Linked DNA regions of Struthio camelus. The protein of the gene in region 2 interacts with the protein of the main gene of each other region in a pairwise test. Links are inferred from orthologs where the notes say so. Each region holds a gene or a part of one and is shown on either strand. Other genes may lie near its edges.

Region 1 (10,018 bases), on a different chromosome or scaffold from region 2:
TTTTCATATCTTCAGTGAGAGAGTAGTGAATAGATCTCGAATTTGCAAATGTTATTGAGTTAGAAGGGCTGGCAGTACTCTGGTTGTGCCCCAATAGAATTTGAGATGAACCTTATGAATTTTAAAACTGGTCTGAAGAGGAAAGGGGGTTGTTCTATAGAGAAAATACACAATGTTATAATCATGTAAACACCAGAGAGGGAAGAAGTGCATGTATCAAAGTCAAGAAAAAATTCAAACAATGAGGAAAAATTGTAAGAAATTCGGTTGTTTAGTCTTGAAAGAAGATGAGAATAATAATAATCTTAAAAAATTTCAAACATTTTTGAGAGGAGGGGAATAAATTATTTTCCAGCCTGAGTGTGAATGGCATTATATTGCCGCAAAGGTGATTTAGGAAGTCTAGATATTAGGAAACCTTTCTAACGGTGAGCACTGGACTGGCTCCTCTAGAGGGGTACAAGAATCACCATACTTGAGGGTATTTAAGACAGCGTAGACAAACTACTGCCAAGAGGAGCGTAAGTCTAATTGGCAATGGAGGAAAGACTCATTAATGTCTCAAGATCCTCCAGTTACTGTGATATTCTGACCTAATAGTCTATCATGCATACAAGCACTTTGCCTACATTTTGTTTTATTGCTTTATTTCTGCAGGCTATGTTAAGCTGATGAGTTACTTTGCTGCTGCAGTGTGATCTCGTGGATTTAATACGTCCAGCTGACAAATTAGACTGTTGTCGTGTGATCACCCTGCCTGCGTTCACCCCAAGGCTTTCTCCTGCTTGGGAATTATGTCACAATTTTCACCTCAAGGTCTCCCTTTTATTTTTATATCAGCTCAACATCCAGTGCCCTATAACACTTGGCAGTTGAAAGAGATTTACTATTATAAGGAAGTCTGTGATGTTGAATCAGCACTTCAGACTGTGCCAAGCACAGGCTGTAAGCCTGAGCAACAGAGCCATGGTGAAACAGAGCATAGAGCAATGATGAAATCTGGGTAGCAAAACTTACAAAAATACACATGCAAAACCTTTCCCCAAAACAAGCACCCGAAAAACAAAATAACCAGCATTTCTCCAGTGGAGCCCCGCGAATTATGGGAGCGGAAGACTGACCCTGATTTTTGTCTGTACATTTAGAAGCAAACTGTGATCCATACTGAAAACTTTCCTATCGCAAGTAACAATGGTTTATTCACCTCCTGTGTTCGTAATGAACTACCAAGGCACAGTCAGGGATGTGTCATGCCCAGTATTCCTGGCAGACTTGTCATTTTATGTAACATAATGTGAAGGGGAAAAAAAAAAGAAAAGAAAAAGAAAAAACTTGGTCAACTTCCCAGTGATGCACTGGGCACAGGAAACTTAAAAGGACAATTGTTGCTAAATATGTTTGCTAAGGGGGAAAAAAAAAAAAAAAAAGAATTTAACCCTTAGTGTGGTAGTATTGCCAGAGAAACTAACCTTTCCACACGACGACTTGCGGGCACTTGTGACTCATAACACCATTTCCTTGGAAGAGATGATGCCGAGAACTTGGGGTGACGAGACAATCAGCCCTTTACCAAACCTTGTTCCTGGTGCAGGCTGATTTAGAAGTTGCCTGGGAAATTGCCTTTTACCTACCAGTTGGAAGACAATCAATCATCTTTATTATTTCGTATCATAGATGTGTTAAATAAAGAGTAGCAGTCCTTTGATGGACCTGATTGGTACAGCCCTTGTGGCCGTAGAATTAGGATTCCCAGAGAAAGTAAGTGTTTATTCTGGAGCTAGGCAGCCAGGGCACCCTAAATAGCTGTGGGAACGGTGTCAATGAATTGTAGATATCTAAAATGAAGCTGTGCAATCACAGAAATCCTGAAAATGTCCGCACTGCGCATTCACTAAAAAGTGAGCCAAAGGACGGCAGCTTAGTTGGAGACATTTTTGTGATAGATTCCTACAGTTAGGTGAGATACATGCCATCTCTGTGGCTTTGTTGCACTTACCATGAAAAAGCCTTCTATACAAACACATTCACTATTCCATTATATATTTTGTCAGGGTGTACAATAGAGTCTTTTATTCTCAGAGGAGAAAACAACTGGAGATGAAATTTGAAGCAAACTCTCCAAGGACATTACTGAATGATTTTCTTTTCGGACACCTTAGAAACCTCCTTCAAGAGGAAATAATTTTCTAATCATCGTCTTATTTGTCTAGATCAAATTGGTCATTGATATAAACAGGTTTACCTCTGCCGATATTGAATTTCATTCATTCATTTATACAGTCACAGATCTTGTTGCTTCATATATTCTGTGCTAAACTTCTCTCTCGCTTTTGTTTCTTTGTTTTGTGATCTTTTTTTCTTTACTATCTTATGATCTGGAAGAAAAGAAAAAAAAGGATGACTGGGAACAGGCATTGTATTAAGGAGGCTTACAAATCCATATGTAGTGATTAAAAAAAAAAAAAAAAGAAGGAAAGAAAATCCATCAAAAGAAAATTAGAATAAGCAGATAACCATGGTAGAATGTACAGGTTTTTATCTAAGAACAGGAAAAAATTTAGTGGGTCTGTAGAACCTACTGAATCATGAAATTTACTGAATATTACTGAATCATGAAATACCAAATGAAAATTAAACATGTGGACTCTATGCCTTTGCATCTTGCTCATTAGAGAGTGACACACCGTCTCTGATCCCAGCACAACAGTGATTCACAGAATTGATAACTTTTGATCCTCTCAGCTGAGATTTTGAGAGTTAAATCCAGCCTCACAAAGGGATTTAGATGTCCAGCTCTCTAAGAGGATATTAAAGGCTGTGAGTTTAGCATACAGGGAAAAGGGTCAGCTGAGCAGCTAAGAAAGGCATTCCCAGCAGTCGGTGTATTGAGCAAGTCGGCTGATAGGAAATGCTATGAGAGGAATATGAGAGGAATATGTCTGAAATCTTCCTTCTTTCCTGAATTTAGGATCATAAGTCAGGAATTCAGTGTGAAACCACCTCCAGTCTTGGACACCTAAGTCATGCTGTAGTGAACCAGTTATGCTCAGGTGTCTCTCTTGCAGAAAGATTCCTGAGAGTCTGTGCATTGACTCAATCACTGCCTTGTACTTTGTTATGATAACAATCAGGAGGAGGTCTTCTTCTAACCAGAAAGAGAACTGAGTCAGATCAAGAAGTAGCTCCTGACTGAAATAATAGTGATGTAAATTTGTTCAAATCAGTGGCATTATCCTAGACAAACACTAGTGTAATTTAAAACAGAATCTGGGTCTAAGTGTCTTCTCGAAGCATCGTTTCAATGAATATAAGAAATACATAACTATGTTTCCATTAGGCCCAGTGGAAACCACGGAAATCTTACCATCAAAGGGTGATTTACCATTAAGATCTAGAGCATGATTTCTCACAGAAAACCCAGCTTCTAAATTTCAACTTTCTATATGGATGGCACTGAATAGAGCACATGGGAAAATGTTTTCATTTCAGCTAACAGTGCCGAACTTCTTTCCATTTTTCTGAATTGCTGGGCTGTGAAAACATGGACCTACGATTCTTCACAGTGGTGAGAAAGTTAGCAATGCTTCAGAGAGGTGAAAATCTATAGGCGGAAAGTGGTTGTTGGTGTTTCCAGAACTGTGAGTAAAATATTCCTAGCAATCCCCACTTGCATGCTAAAACATTTGATTGACCCTACTAAAATACTTGGCTGGTGGAGTTGCAGGATGACTGCAATTCTTCTCAAGAAGAGAACAATTTTAGTTTGCTAAAGTGCCCCTGGTTCTGGTCATTTGGTCTCTGGACCGACATACGTTCCCTCTGCCCTTCAACGTTATTCCTTCACCTAAGTGGAAAATTCCCGGAGAAGTCATGTTAGCCAAGACCAAACTTGTAGTCACATTTGTTTCTTGTTCAAATAGTAGAGAGACTGTGAGCAATGTGACATGTGGGAGCACAGAACAAAGCCTGCCACTTAACCAATGAGTACATTTGTTTTCTGACTGAATTGTTAAGCAAGGATTGTGCTGCAGCCCTTCAGAATCTGATTTGTTTTAGAGGAAAAATGAGTCTGTCCTGGGATCCTGGCCATTAAATATCCACTTCTGTGAGGTTGATTCTTCTCTCAGCTGTCTCTAGTGCAAATAAATAATGTTAAGAGTGTATAGTGATTTAAATCATCTGTAAAGAATAACCCCACAGCTCAAAAGCTACTTTCTCCCTCTAGCTCCCATCAGATACGTGCCTGCCCTTCACTGCCTATCCTAAATACTTGTGTAAGCTTGGCGGTCATGTCTCCATTTCTAGCTGCATAATTCCAAAAAAACCCCGAAACTCATCTTCAAGTGTGATTTGACAATAAGCTATGAACCATGCCTAGAAAACCTGTCTGGACAAACCCAGCTCATCCATTGCACAAGACACTGGATTTTGCCCTTTTTTGGTTCACAGCAGTTTATGGGGACTGGGTCTATGGGTAGAAAACTTGACCAAGTGCTGGGGTATTTGTCATTAATCTGAGAAAGAATGGGGTGGAGCTCATTTTGGAGAAAAGCACCATACTGAACTGCGTTGTGGAGGAGATTTCTGAACAGACATTTCCCTAGGACAAACCGTGATGTCAAAGGGCTGGAATCATCACAAGGGGGTTAAATCTGCGGAGAGCGTTGCTGCTCTACTCATGCCTTGTCTTTCTCATGTGAGGGATTCCTTCTTGCCTTATCAGTACCGGTACAGAGGTTGTTAGGTAGTCCAAATCCTAATTGTAGGAAGAGGTGAGTAAAGAAGGAATTTCCTGCAGGCACAGCAGAATGGCAAGGCAGCTCCATCCCACGGATGCCAATTTGGGACACCTGGAAAGTACTTGCTCTTGTAAACTATTCATAGAGCTCTTCTTTCCCTCACTCAGTTCCCTGAGGTATGAGATATGCCTTGTGTCTTGGCCATTCTGTGGGTGGGACCGGAGAAGCTGGTCACTTCTGCTCTTCAAGTTTCAGAGAATGGATTTGCAATAAATAAAAATTCCACTGAATAAAATACTTAATTTAAATACTTGGTTAATTGACTGTGATTGTACCTCACATTAAAATTGGACACACTGTCTTGGGCAGAATTTGATTTCTTATTGGTCTAGCATGCGATTCCTCATTCTAGCCCCATTGCAATTAGAAGGGTAAAAGACAATAACTAACATATCCTAATTTATTTGATTTTTCCTGTTTTTGCCCCATTGGTACAGTTCTGTTGGGTAAGTGTATTATAAAACACAAAGAAATAAAAGTGGTTATTTTGGAAAATCAAGAACATCTGAGAACTAGAAAGCATAAGAGTTTGGGCATGACAGGCTGCAGACATCTAGATTTTTACTTAAGCAGTCTTCAGCTTTGCATCTGAACAAATTATTGAAAGCTCAATATATTTTAAAAGCCCTTCTTGACTGTCTAATGCTATCCAGGTGTGTATTTGACTTTGTCTTCATAGTGACATACTTCCTCGGTGAGAAAGCCTTGAATTAATTAAACTACAATTTAAAAGTTGACACCAGTGCATTAAAGCAAGAAGAAGAAGAAAGAAGAGGAGAGAGAGAGAAGTAAGCTGTTTTTAAATAGTCATCTTGCTTTCCAGACTTTGCCTGGGCAATTTGCTTCTGACCCTGGATCAGATCTGGTGCATCCTTGAAGTCAGAGCAAACCCTCTGACTTTGAGGCGAAGGCACCGCCAGCTGCGAAAGCGCGCAGAGATCTGATAACGCAGGGGTTAACCTAAGGCATGTATACAAACCTTGCTGCGATAACATCAGAAGAGGTTAGACCTTTTGCTCTTCGAGACGCTCTGGCACTGCTGGGAGATTCATTTTGTCTGCAAAATCAAGCGTGTAATTTCCCTTGTCCCGCAGTCTGTGTCTCTGTCTGCGGCCAGTGCCGTGCATCGGCGGCGGCAGCAGCCGGTCTCCCTGGTGACTGCCGGGACAGCTGACCTTCAGGAGAGGAGCGCTGGATGTCTGCAGGCTATACTTTCACTTCAGGATGTGGGTTAGGAAGCCCCCAGATTGGCTTTTTTCCTGCCGGTCGGAAGGAAGGCAGGAGAGCGAGCCCAGGGAAACCCTGAGACGCCTCTGGTTGGGACGGGGAGGGGGTGGGGGGAGGCGGAAAAAGTGAAGAAACGAAGTAAATGCCCATTTCATACGTCCCTCAGCACGATTTCTTCCCCTCCGCTTAAGCATAAACCTCTCAAGGGCAGAGCAAAAAGGGTGCAGAGAACCTGCGCTTCGACCTAGCGCTAATGCAAACCCCGTGCGCTGGCGGAGAGGAGCCGGGCACGGAGACGCGGGCTAGATCAGACTGGCTCTTCTGCAAACCCGAACGCCTCCTCTAGCTGCAGAGGGCAGCTCTTTCGGGTCCGAACCGCCGGCGTATGAAGCACCCAGCTGACCTGCAGTGGAGTTATTTCAGCTTTACGCGGTGGTCGCAGGGATTAGAACGACTCGCAACCGTTAGTCGGTCAAGACCTGTTTGTGTGAGTCTGTGTAAACATATATGTTTGTACATCTGTCAGGCTTGGCATCAGAAATGCGTCCAAGTCTGCGCAGAGCCAGCAGAGGAGAGGTTCCCACCTGTTTTCAAATGAAACGGAGTCATTTAAGTCCCTGGAGCGCCGATTTAGTTGTTGATTTTATTTATTGCTTTCGGATGTCACCGGCTGCCGGTGAAGCTGAGCATGAACAACTTACCAGCCTGCACAGATAACTTTTCTTTTTGTTTAGTCCAGCACGAGGGAGAAATCCTGTAAAAGCTCTCAGCCCAGTCTGTGGGCTGAATGGCGATAGAGAAGTCAAACGAGTGAAGGTAAAATTCCTGCGGTGCTCCTAAAGACTTTTCCAAAGATTTTAAAAAAGCCTCTTAAAAACGGCAGCAGAGATCGAAGGCTGTTAAGGGAAGGGGAAAAAAAAAAAAAGGGGGAAGAAAAAACTTTGGCAGGCATGCAGTGTCTTACATCAATCTAGCAGTCAGCATCTATGTAGATGTTCTTTCCTCCTTTTGTGCAACACCCCTTCCCTCCTACAGACCACCCAAAGCCCTATAAATAATCCAAGAACTCTATTTTTTCTCCAGATTTCTCTTCAGACCTCAAAGGGAAAATATCAAGCAGAAGAAGGGAGAGAGGGAGAAGAAGGGAAAGTGCGAGAGAGAGAGAGAGAGCGAGGGAAGGGAAAGATGGCTAGTGAATTCAAAAAGAAAATGTTCTGGAGGGCGGTGGTGGCTGAGTTCTTTGCCATGAGCCTCTTTATTTTTATCAGCATTGGCTCGGCTCTGGGTTTTAGTTTCCCGGTTGTGGGCAACAAAACGTCCACAAGGTCTCAAGACAACGTGAAGGTCTCGCTGGCTTTTGGGTTATCCATTGCTACCATGGCACAAAGCGTGGGCCACATCAGCGGTGCCCACCTGAACCCCGCGGTGACCCTGGGCCTTCTGCTGAGCTGCCAGATCAGCATCTTCAAGGCGCTCATGTACATCATCGCTCAGTGCCTGGGGGCAGTGGTGGCCACCGCGATCCTCTCGGGAGTCACCTCGTCTCTCCCAAACAACCTCCTGGGGCTCAACGCGGTAAGCAGAGAAACTTTTGATTCCTCCTTCATTTTTAATGTAGAAATGTGAGGGTAACACCAGCAAGCTACTAAGGGGGTGCGTGTGGGTGTGTGTGTGCGTATGTAGAGGGCGATGGTAGCTTCACTCAGCCAATGGCTCAGTTTAGGGGGGGGATCCAGTCCTGACTGATTGACGCCAGGGTGAATCTAGGATATAGGTACCCTGTGCTGTCAGCTTAAGCACTTTATTAATCCTTTTCCTTTGCAAGAGATGTCGTAGAGAAGGTCCCTTCTCCCCACCCCCTTTCTAAAGCTAGAGGACACTGTGGTCACGACCAGTTTTGCTCATGTTTAGTTTTGTATCTCTGCGTTGATAAAAGTCGCCTTTTGATGCCAATTTAGCATTGAAATCACTGCCAGTTGCGAGGTCGATCCCTGTGATGGTGCTAAAGGTCTCAGATAACATGCCTGCGACTTGCGATGCTGATGAATGTGCATACAGCGATGTTGTTTTCCCATGTGTGAATGTGGTTCTTTTTTCAATACCTAATTAATGATTTCTGTAGCCTGATGATGACTGCAATGTAAGAACCTATGGAAAAAGACACAGAGAGGGATGTGTAGCAAGAGGAAGCTGTGAGCATTACCTGTTGCATTAGGCTCAGTTCCTGCCTGACACAATGACAGCTGCGCTTTCCTTGTGCTCCTGCTTTTGCTATTCAAAAGATGAGGAAAACACTGAATTCTGAGATGTAAGCTGCAGAAAGAGGTGAGGCAATGACATTTAACAGGGATGAAGGTTTCAGCCCTCTTCTAGCCTGCTGCTCACAGCTATTAACAGTCGCATTGCATAAAAAGTACTTTGAATATTTCAGTGCTTGGCTGCAACTGTTCCCTCTAAAAATTGCTGTCATTTTATTGTTCTTATTTTAGCATAGCAGCCGTGAAAAGGATAGATACACTTTTTAAACATTAAATCATCCCATTGTCAGAGGCAGTCCCACAGCCACAAATATTTGGGTCACAATCCAAAGAGGAGTATTATAAGTGGAAATTCCCTTCTAGTCACTTTTCTCACCTGATGCTGTTAAGGACAAATATATCACATCTTTTCCGTGGCCCCTCTCTTGCAGACTATTTCTGGCTGCAGTCTGGGACTTGAACCTATTTGAAATATTATGTCCAGTTGAAGTCGTAGGGATATTTGGGACCTAAAGCTCCAAATCAAAGGTCTCTTCATAAATCATTTGGGCAAAAGGGGAAGAAAAAATAAACAAAAGTTAAATGCACAAATAGGGTAACATGTTTTAGCATGCTATGCCGTTATAGTTAACTCCAAAAGTGAGACTGTGAAGATTTTTTAAAACGTAATAAAAGTTGGTATTAAAAAGGTCATTCCTGAGTAGCCAAAGTGTATCATCCATCTCAGCATTACTCTGAGGGTTAGGTGCTTACCTCCCTCTTCGGAGTCTGGTGCCTGCAGGTACCTCCTTGTGCCACCACTTTTGAAATCTTAATAGGGTTAATCCAGCACATTCTGGGGAAGAAGAGAGAAGCTTTTTATTAACTCCAGAAGGCTCTGGCTGTGCATATGGTATGTGATCTCTCCCTCTGAAACCACTGGCAGAGGGAGCTGCTTAACCACATGGGACAGGGTATCCGCCCAAGTGGTTTCCTAGAGAGGTCTGACTGCCAGCTGCTATTAAACACGGGAGGTCTGGTTTCAGTAGCACTGTCATTCGGTCTTCCCCGTTTGCCTGCCACAAAACGTGGATGACTGGCTTCTTCCTCTATCCTAAAGCCCTGAAACTGGCCACTTGCAAAGTGGGTGTACGTGATCACCCGAAACTTTTCTTGACCCTGAGCTGGTAACTCTCCACGTTACGGCGATGTTATCTAGAGCTTTGCACAAGGATGTCTCAGAAGCGAAGAAGCTACAGAGGCAGGTGGAAAAAAATTCAGGAAAAGAGTGGAGAGAAAACCTGTGGCAGATAATAAAACAAAGAGGGTCCACTCTCAAGGGGAAACTGTGGCATAAGGGTCTCTCCCTTTGGAGAGCGCAGAACACACCACGGAGCTAAGGGGGTAATTTATTTATTTATCACTTCAGTGAAGCCAGATTTGCCCTTTGACCAGGCCACTCCTGAACACTACCTAGTTCTGTGGAGAAAACCTGTGTGGGGGGAATGCTCCTCTTCTTGAACTCGGTAGGTGTTTTGTCACTGATTTTGGTAAGGTTAGGAGACCTCACAAATGAACCTCACAAATTGCATCTTGAGATGGAAGCCTTACTCCCTCCCCCGGGAACTCTGTGAATACAATGGAATCCATCCTTTCCAAGACCATAAAAATCCATGATGGGAGAAAAGTGACATTTTAAGTCTCCATCACAACTGCATTGCAAATCTGGTAACCATTTCTCTAGGTAAATTAATC
Region 2 (9,680 bases):
CCGGCTCCTGCGCCCCGGATGCCTGGGTCCCTAAGGGGGGGGGGGGCTCTGAGGGAGGCACCGGGTCAGGGGTAGCGCTGCCGGCGGCTGAAACGAGCTGGGACGGGTGGAACGAGTTGGCCAGGTCTCAGGCGGGGGAAACTGAGGCCCGGCCCTGGGAAGTGACTCAGGGCCGCGGGGCATGGCCCCGCGGGGCGACCGACCCTCGGCCTCGCGCCCCTTCCTTCCTCCTCTTCCTCCCGGCGGGTCCGGGTGCATGCGGTGGTGGTGGGGGGGGCACGGTTCCCCCCCGCCCGGGTCCGCTCACCCTGCGCCGTCCCCGCGCCCAGGTGCCGGCGCCGAGGCGGCCGCGGGGCCCCGCGAGCCCCCGGCCCAGGTGGGGCTGCTGCTGCGGCTCGAGGACCTGGAGCAAGGTGAGCCCCGGGGGTGGTGGGTGGGGGGACGCGGGGATGTGACCCCTGGGAAAGGGTGGGCGACGCGTCCTGTCCCCCCCCCCGGGGGATGTGACCCCCCCCCCTCCCCGGACGCGTGCCCCAGGGATGGGGGCGGAGGGACGGGGCGAGGGGGACGCATCCAGCAGGGCTGCAAGGACGTGTGTCCCGGGTGGGAGGCAGGGAAATCCCCCCCCGCCCCCAGCCCCGGGACGGGACCGCGGGCGCCCCGCCGTGACCCTGCTCGTCCCGCAGCCCCGGTGCTGCAGCAGGAGCGGGAGCTGGTGCTGCCCGTGCTGCGCTCCCCGGCGCCGTCGGCATCGTCCCCGGAGCGCTGGGGCAGCGACCTGGAGGACTTCCCCCCCGGGCGCCCCGCGGCCGCCACCATCGCCGACCTGTGCCGCCGGCCCCGGCCCCGGGACGCCTTGGGCGACCTGCCCCGCACCGGCTTCTCCCACCTGCGGCGCCAGGCGGACGCGCTGCAGCGCCTCGACGGCCGCCTCGACGCCTGCTGCCGCCGGCCCCAGCCCCTGCCCTGCGCCCAGCAGGCGGTGAGTCCCCTACGGGGGGGGGGGGGGCTTTTTGCTAATTTTTATGTTTATTGCATTTTTGCTGCAATATTATCTTTTTTTCATTATTTTCATTATTTTTGTTGCGCAGTGGGCGGAGGTGCTGGAGGACTTCTGCGCCGACGAGTTCAGGGTGAAGACCAGGCACTACTACTGCTGCAAGAGGAGAGGGGCCGAGCGCGAGCGCTGCTTCGCCGCCGCCGCTTCGCCCGCCCCGCTCGAGCTGCAGCCGCCGCCGGCCACCGCCGCCGCCGTGCCGCCCCTACCCCAGCCCGTTTTCCCCCCCGGCGAGCCCACCGCCGCCAACATCGGTAACATCTGCCGGCTGCGCAAATTCCGGCCCGTCTACGGCCCCGGCGCTTTCCCCCCGTCCGGCTTCGGCGCCGCCAAGAGCCGAGCGCGCGCCCTGGCCCGCCTGGAGCGCGACTACAAGACGTGCTGCCGCGCCGAGAGCGTCGAGTGCGCCCGCGCCGCCGTGAGTCCGGGCCGAGGGCGCCCCGGGGTGGGGGTCCCCCCCCCTCCCCTCCCCTCCCCACCTGGCCGGCGGCCGGGCCGATGCTCAGCTCTCCCCCCCCCCCCCTTGCAGTGGCAGAAGACGCTGGGGCGTTTCTGCGAGGAGGAGAGCGGCGTGAAGACGAAGCAGCACCGCTGCTGCAAGCGGGGCCGGGGCCCGGCCCGCTGGGGCTGCTTCGCCGGCGAGGCCCCGCATCCCGCCTACGACCGCGAGCTGCGCAACGCCAGCCTGGCCCGCCTCGGCCCCGCGCTGCTCGACGCCCTCTGCGGCCCCGCGCGCCTCCTGGCCAAGCAGTGAGTGCCGGCGGGCCCAGGCGTCCGGGCCCCGTTTCCACTCCTCCCCTCCGGGATGTTCCTCCAGATCCCCCACGCTGGCAGTGCTCAGAGGGACCCAGGCGTCCGGCCCCCCCCCCCCCCAAACCGGGCTCCCCCGACGGGGCGGGATATACGGGGCTGGGCCGCCCCCCGGCGGCGCTGGGCGGTACTGCAGGCCGGGGGGGGGGTTAGGGGGTGGCAGCGGGGGGCCCAGGCGTCCTGGCCCCCGCCGGGAGGATCCAGCCCTTGGGTTTACCCCGCTCACGGCGGTTCTCTCCGGCGCCGCAGGAAGCCGGTCCCGGCCCTGGTGCAGAGCATCACGGAGGCGTGCTGCCCGCGCGGCGGGGCCGAGCGCGTCGCCTGCGCCGAGGACCAGGTGAGCGCAGGGCCCCCGCCCCGCCTCCACGCGGGGGACCCAGGCGTCCGGGCCCTTCGTGACCTCCCGTCTCCTCCGCAGAAATCCCGCACCATCGCCGCCCTCTGCTCCTCGCAGCGGGACTCGTGGAAGGACCCCAAGCGATGCTGCGCGCACGGCACCGCAGAGGAGCAGCGCCGGTGCTTCGACGCCAGCTACCTGGCCAGCGTCTTGCTGGCCTCGACGGAGCCCGAGCTGCTGGCCGCGGAGCAGGATTAGACCGTCCGCCCCCCCCCCCTTGGCCATGCTGAGCCCCGGCAGGGCTGCGGACCCCGTCCCGAGCTCGCCGGGGGCATGACGGGACCGGGGGGGGGGGGCTGGGGCTGCACCGCGGCCCCTCTCCTGCCCCGCGACGGCCACGGGCTCCTGGGGCTCAATAAAGCCTTTCCCCGACAGCCCGGCTCCGCCTGCACCCTCGCGCCGCAGCCCTGCCTCGGTTTCCCCAAGGTGCGTCGGTTCCCCCCCACCCCGCCCCGGTGCCTCGGCCCCCCCGGCATGCCGGGGCCGCGGTGCAGGTGTGTCCGCGCAGGGTGCGCGTCTGTGCGGCCGCGTGCAGGCGTGCGCCGCGCGCCGGGGCCTGTTTGCGTGTCGGGGTGCGCCAGCGGCACCGCAGGGACCCAGGCGGGCGGGGTCCGCGGAGGTGGGAGTCCCGCAGGGTGGCGGGTCCGGCTGCGGGTCTGGCCGTGGGTCCGGGCGCACGTGGAGCTGCCCCGTCCCCCCCCACCCTGGTCTGCCTGCGTCTCCCCCTTCCTATGCCCCCCCACGTCCCAGTGTCCCCTGCGGTGTCCCCGTGCCCCCCACATCTCCATGGCCCCGCTGATGACTCCGTGGCCCCTGTTATGCCCCCATGTCCCCCATGGTGTCCCCCACGTCCCCGTACCCCCCATGTCCCCGGGTCCCTGGTGCCTGGCGGGGTCCCAGCGGGGCCGGAGGCTATTTTTGGGCCCTGGTGCTAATTCGGGAGCGTGCCGGGGCGGTGGCCGGATCCGGGGCCGTGTTTACGGGAGCCGCCCGGGAAGAGAGCAGGTCACACCGGGGTTCCCGGCCTGACCTCGACCGCTGCCAGCCCTTCCCGTGGCAGCGAGTTTGCACGGTCTCAGCTCCAAGGGCGATGCCTCCCCGGCCGGCGGTGGCGCCGGGTCCCAGACGCGCCGTCGCCCCAGCCAGCGAGCGGGGGGTGGGACGGGACGGGACTTGTGTCAACACAGCGGGAGCCGCCGCGGCCGCGTCCCCCCTCCCAGTCCCTCCCAGCCTCCCAGTAACCCCAGGGATCCCACGGCTGCCGCGGACCTCCTGGCTGCCGCCATGCGAGGCCTCGTCGAGTCCCAGTCACTAATTGCTCAGCTGGAGCCGCTGCCAAGAGCAGCTCGGCGCAATTAAAAGCACTTCACGGTGCGAGGCCGGGGCCCTGGCGAAGCCCCGCAGAGGGGATTGCTCCCTGGGGGAAACTGAGGCACGCAGTTTTGCACGGGAGACATTGCCATCGCGCTGCCACCGAGGCTGGCGCCAGTGCCCTGGTCCCAGCTGAAGTTTGCTCGTCTGCATCCGGCGCCCCTGGGCCACCCCCCCCCCGGCATCCACCTTTTTTTGCACCTTTTTGCATCATTTTTGGAACCCCCCCTGCCTTTTTGCAACCCTCTTTTTGCCTCCGCCTGGGATGGGGCTCCAGCAGCCTGACCGGGGCAGACCCGGCTCTCACCTTGCCCCAGGGCCGCAGCGGGGTGTGGAGGGGTAAAAGTCGCGTCCCTTTGTGGCTGCTTGCCTCAGTTTCCCCTCGCCATGCATCAGGGCTCCTTGCCGCTGCGGACGGGATCGATCAGAGGTAATGGGGGGACGCGACGCCGGGATGAGCCCCCCTGCCTGCGCGCCACCACGGCCTGTCACCGGGCCCCGCGGCTGGCGTTGGTGGGGACAGGGGTGGCCGCCCCGGTCCTCCCGCTGGCCACCGGGCCGCTGACACAGCGAGGTCACCAGCCTCGTCCCTCACCAGAGAGCCCGGCCGGTGCCCGCTGGGTCAGTGACGGCCGTGGGCTGGGGACGTGGCACGGGCTGGGGACGGCGCACAGCTCGGGGACGGCCGGGACCGTGGGCCGGGGCCGGACGGCGGGTGGCTATGGGGTGGGGGGCTGCGGATGTCCCCGACGGCCTGGCGACAAGGCACGGGCCGGGAGCCCCGCACGAGGCTCGGGGACGGCGCAGGGGTGCAGGGATCGGGCTGGGGGGGGCCGGAGGTGCGGGGCAGAGCGGGGGTCGGGGGCACCCCCCGGGGCCGTGGGGCAGCAGCGCTCCCCCCCCCCCGGCCGGTCCCCCCGGGCGCAGCGCAGCGCAGCGGGGCCGGGGCCGGGCGGGGGCCGGGCCGGGGCTGCGCCGCCCCCGCTCCGCGCCGAGCGGTGCCGAGCCTGGGGCGTCCATGGGGCGGCCGCGAGGTGCGCGGAGCCGGGGACCGGGACCGGGGACCGGGGCGGGCCGGGGAAGGGGGGAGCGGGGCTGGGTCAGGGGCGGGGAACCGGGACCGGGGGAAGAGCACCGGGATCGGCGACGCGGCGGAGAAGGAGCGGGTCGGCGGCCGGGCCGGTAACCGCGAGCGGGGAGGGGGACCGGGCCGGGGATGGGGGACCGGGGACCGGGGAGGGGGCGAAGCGGTTGGCGGCGGGGGTCGGGCCGGGGCCACCCGGTCCCGGGGCCGGGAGCGACTCGATTCGGGCTGAAACTCGCCTTTTTCGGGTTGGGACTGACCCGGTTCGGAGTGGCGGGGGGGGGGGGGGAGGGGGGGAGGGTGAAATTGACCATTTCGAGCTGAAATTGACCCTGTTCGGGATGAAACTGACCAGCCCCCGCTGCCTGCACCCGGGCTGCCGGGGGGGACCGGGCCGGGGCAGCCGCAGCGGCGGCCTCGCCGAGGGGGGGCTGGAGCACCGGGACGGTGAGAGCGGTGTGGGCAGGGGTCCTGGACCGCAACCCCCTTCCCCACCCCGCAGCCCCCTTCCCTATGCCCTTCTGCAGCCCCCAGCCCCTTTTCCCAGCCCTCAAACCTCTTCCCCGCCTTCAGCCCTTTCCCCATCCTGTAGCCCCTTCCCCAACTCTCTTTCCCAGCTCACAACCCCCTTTCTGAGCCCTCAAACCCCTTCCCCATCCCGCAGCCCCTTCCCCAGCCTGCAGCCCCCTTCCCCAGGTCACAAACCCTTTCCCCTGCCTTCAGCCCCTTCCCCACCCCCTTCCCCAGCTCACAAGCTCCTTCCCCTGCTTGCAGCCCCCTTCCCCGTTCCCTTGCCCAGCCCGCAGCCCCTTCCTCATCCTGCCATCCCCCTCCCCAGCCCAGCCCCTCATCAGCTCCATGTGCAGCATCCCTGGATGGGGGGACAACTGGCATCCAGGGGGGGCTGCTGGGTGCCCACGTTTCTGGCCACCAGGACTCTGTCCGCATCCTTCCCTGGCTACTCCATCCCTTTGCTGCCCCGTTCCCCATCCTTCTGTGCCTGGATGCTCCCTCTCTTCGGCTCCCCCTGCCCCCCCCCCGTGCTTTGCCACCCTGGGACCAGCTTTTCCCCCCTTTCCTTCATGGCAGCCCCGGGAGCCCCCAGGCTTGGAGGACCCCAGCCCGCGGCCACCCCTGTCCCCTCAGGCTGTGACCGTTCAGCGAGCAGGTAAGGGGGGGCCGGGGGGCCTCCGGGCTGCTGAAATGCCCTGGGAAGGGCATCTCTCCTGCCTGTGATTGCATTCCCCCCCCCGGAGCCATCCCTGCCGGGCAGGGCAGAGCTGCGGAAACAATGTGCTGGGCGGCTGCTGATACACCGGCCACCATGTGCTCTATTTTTATATCTTTATTTATACAGATATAACAGTTAGGGCTTTTTTCGGGGGTGGGCCGGACGGCCCAGGCGTGGAGGGCAGGCTGCGCGTCGGGCAGTGCCCTCCACATGCCATCGGAGGCACGGAAAAGTCCCCGGGTATTTTTATACCTGTTTTTTTTTTTTTTTTATTTTCCCTCCTCCACCAGGGTGGGAGATATTCCAGCCAGTCTGCTCACATTTTCAAATATAGATAGCCCAGGCAACAAGTGGTTTCTCAGCCGTCTTAACGCAAGCTGCTTTCGTGCTCCTGCGGCTGCCGGGCCTGATCCCGACCTCTCCGTGCCCTGGCCCGCAGGTCGCTCCGGACGGCTTCCCCTCCGGCTCTGCTTTGTGCCGGTGGAAACAGCAAACGGATCCCTTCTCCTCTTCCGCCGTGGCATCCAAAAATACTTCAAATTCCTTCATTTCAAAGGGCTTGGGGCGGGGGGGGGGGGGGAGGCGGACGGACAGACGCAGGGCAGGACAAGGTGACCCGGTCGCTAGCAGGAGCCGGCCGGAGCCGAAGGATCCCAGCAGCAGCCCAGATCTCTGCTTTGCCTCCGGGCTGCCTTCCTCCCCCCCCCCCAACTCTTTCCCCTCCTTTTCCAGTGCTGTTTTTGGAGACCTGGCTGTTTCTTTTCTCCGGCAGCCCAAAGGTGCGTCTTTGTGCAGGGAGAGGATCAAACAGGGAAAGGGGAAAAGCTGAGCAGGCTCCTGCCGGCACAGGGAAGGAGGCGGTTTGCCAGCCCCCGGGCACCGTTTGGGGCCAGAGCCAAGGCTTTTGGCTGCCACTGCTGCTCCATCCCGGACCGGGGAGGTAAAACTGCTGCAACAGCGACCTCGCTGCCTGCCCGGGTGGTCCGGGAGGAAACAGCGGCTGGAGGCTTCGCTTGACTCCGGGAGCTGATGCTTGCAGCTGGGCGTGATCCTGCTGGGGGCCGATTTCCTCCAAAACCACCCCGAAAACCAAACCACCCCCAAAACCACCGAAAACCCCTCGTTGGGGCTGCTCATCAGTTGCTTTGGCCTCCCCACAGGGCCCCGGAGCCGGTTGCTGCCCGAACGTGTGTCTGAGGGGGAGTTTTGGGGGGGGGTTTCTCTGGGACAAACAAGATCTGGCCTTGGGGAGCACTGGGAAAGGTGTTTTCCCCCCCCGCCCAAAACAGCCGGCCCAGCATCCTCCCCTTGCAGAAGGGCTCCAGGGCGGAGCTGCACGTTGGTGGGCACTGTTGGCAAAATGCTTTTTTTGTAGGGGTGTGTGGGGGGGCAGTATTTGGGGCGAGGAATGTCCCCGTGTGGCCTGGCTCAGGTACAAGGTGCCTCTGGCACCTGCTTCCCAGCCCAAAATGCCGTAATCCTGCATTCCCCCTGCAAGACCAAACCGGGGCCTCGCTGGTGCCTCTGGCCGGCCCTTCCCAGCCGCTGGCTCTTGGCACTGAGCAGGGCCCGTTCGGCAGCCAAATCTGGGCCTCCGAAGGGGAGAGGATCCCTTGTGGGGCCTCCATCCCCACTGCTGGCTCCCCCCAACTCGGGAAAGGCGGGTGCGAGTGCTGGGAGGTCATGCTGAAGGGCACCGGCAAGGCTGCAGAGCCCTGGCATGCTCGGTGCATGGGTGGCAGCATGACTGCAGGGTGCTTGCTCCTTGGGCTCATGCTCCTGGCTTCATCTTGGCCCAGGACGGGGCACGGGAGCCAGGGGAGGACCCAGGAGTCCTGGCTTGGCCTGAGCCCATCTCTGCAGGGGGAAGAGAGGGATCTGTACCGGCAGCCAGAGCTGGGCCTGGTGGGCAGAAAAGCCACCGCGGGCAGCCGCCCTTTGCACCCGCCGGTTTTAGTTTCTGCCCTTGGTGCTGAGGCTGGAAGGGAGGGAGGAAAAAGTGCAATTTTAGGGTGCTGCAGCATCGCGATCCCGCTCGCGGCAGCAGCAGGGGGCTCCTGGGAGCGGCGGGCGAGGGGGAAACTGGGCTCTTTTCCATCCCGCCGGCTCTTGCACGGCTTTTTCGCCAGGCCTCCACCGTCTTGGCACCCAGCGGTGCTTTTATTCATTGTTTGTCGGCACGTTGCAAGAAGGCCCCGCTTGCCTGTTCGCTCCCCGGCCTCAAATCTCCCCTCCTGTGCACCGCCCGAAAACATCTGGCCGGCCGGCGGGGCCGATGCCGCCGGCTCTGGCCGCGGCGCAGGGCTCTCACTCGGCCCCGCTGCTGCTCCTCTGGGACGTGCCAAGCAAATGTCCTGGTAGGGCCTGATGTTTTCCAGCTTTCTGGGAGTTTTTTCCAAGCGTGAACCGCAGCGGCGGGTGGGACCTGACCACCGGGGAGACGAGGTCGGCTTAAAATTTCCTCCCCGCCCTCCGAGGAGCAGGAATGGCTCCATGACTCCGTCCATGCCTCGGTTTCCCCCGCAGTGAGGCCGGAGCAGGGTAGGATTAATTAGCGGCGGGCTGACGAGGCTGGTGGAGGACTGGGCGTTATTAACTCGCCGGGCTCCTGCCCAGAGCCGCCCTTTCCCGCGGTGGCCTCGTCCCCTCCCCAGGATTAGCCCCAGTGGAGGAGGGAGGCATTATCAGGGCTTAATGCCCCACAGTCGGGTTGCCAAGTGCTTATGCCTAATCCTCTTCCTCACCACGGTAAAACCCACCCCGAGCAGCCGCCAGGCTTATTTTTGGGCCGGGAGGGGTGGATTTTGGGGGCGCCTTGGTTTGCTCCGCTCTGTCGGTGCAGCAGTGATTTATTACTCCCAGCGGAGGGCTCTGGCCGGACCGTGGCGAGATAAAAATATCCGAGCATCATCCTGGCGGCTGGCAGGGAGGGACCGGGGCCGGCCCCGGCAGGCGCCTGGCAGGAGCTAGGAGGTCCCTTTGCCCCAGCCCTGGCCACGTCCCACCCTGGTGTCCCTGGGGTGTCTTGGGGCTGTTCCCCTCATTTTAATCCCATTGAGGGTGGACGGGCATTGCCACCCACAGGTGCTGGGGTTATTTATTCCTTTGACTTCAATTGCAGAGACTGTCCCTGGAGTCTGGGGCCGATGCTGAAGCCTGGCCGAGGTCCGTGAGAGTCAGAGCGTCTGCTGGGGAGGAGAGGAGCCCAGGAGCCATGGGGGCTTGGCACGCAGGCTGGCTTGGCAGGTACCACCAGAGGGAAATGCTGAGCTGGGGGCTGGGAATGGCTCCGCCGCACCAGCACGTCCCCATGGGCCCCCCCCTGGCTTGGGGTGGCATGGGGAAAGGGCCAGCGCCCCAGCCTTGTGGTGCACGGGGGGGGGGGGGGCTGGTTGCAGGGAGAGGGGTGGATGAGAGGGTGAAGTAGGCAGAGGTCCACCACAGGGTGTCTGTGAGCTTTTATTCTCCACTATCCATCCATCCATCCCTAGATCCTTCCATCCCTTCCCAGATACATTATCCACTGTCCATCCATTTGTCCTTCCCTAGAGCCATCCATCCCCAGATATCCTATCTACTCATCCATCCATCCATCCTCCCATCTGACCATCTCCAGATCCATCCATCCTCAGACTCTCCATCTATTGGTCCATTCACCCATCTGTCCATCTCCAGATCCATCCACAGATGCTCCATCTAGCCATCCATCCATCCATCTCCAGATCCAACC

Evidence for each region. The genes of interacting proteins can lie anywhere in the genome.
Region 1: the proteins of ADAMTSL4 (region 2) and AQP1 interact in a two-hybrid assay, tested with the Homo sapiens proteins (2 studies listed by BioGRID and IntAct). The link is inferred for Struthio camelus from reciprocal best matches to the Homo sapiens genes ADAMTSL4 and AQP1.

The regions. Positions count from the first base shown.
Region 1 is NC_090943.1:5,169,330-5,179,347, reverse strand, and holds the start of AQP1 (aquaporin-1), read left to right. Parts: upstream 1-6,082; 5' UTR 6,083-7,211; coding exon 7,212-7,601; intron 7,602-10,018. UniProt on the Homo sapiens protein: Forms a water channel that facilitates the transport of water across cell membranes, playing a crucial role in water homeostasis in various tissues.
Region 2 is NC_090971.1:2,661,953-2,671,632, reverse strand, and holds the start of ADAMTSL4 (ADAMTS-like protein 4), read left to right. Parts: upstream 1-3,988; 5' UTR 3,989-4,065; intron 4,066-5,808; 5' UTR 5,809-5,887; intron 5,888-6,682; 5' UTR 6,683-6,729; intron 6,730-9,071; 5' UTR 9,072-9,164; coding exon 9,165-9,196; intron 9,197-9,680. Other genes in the region: ECM1 (extracellular matrix protein 1), read left to right, coding at 330-413, 687-982, 1,092-1,475, 1,587-1,807, 2,117-2,204, 2,286-2,462. UniProt on the Homo sapiens protein: Positive regulation of apoptosis. May facilitate FBN1 microfibril biogenesis.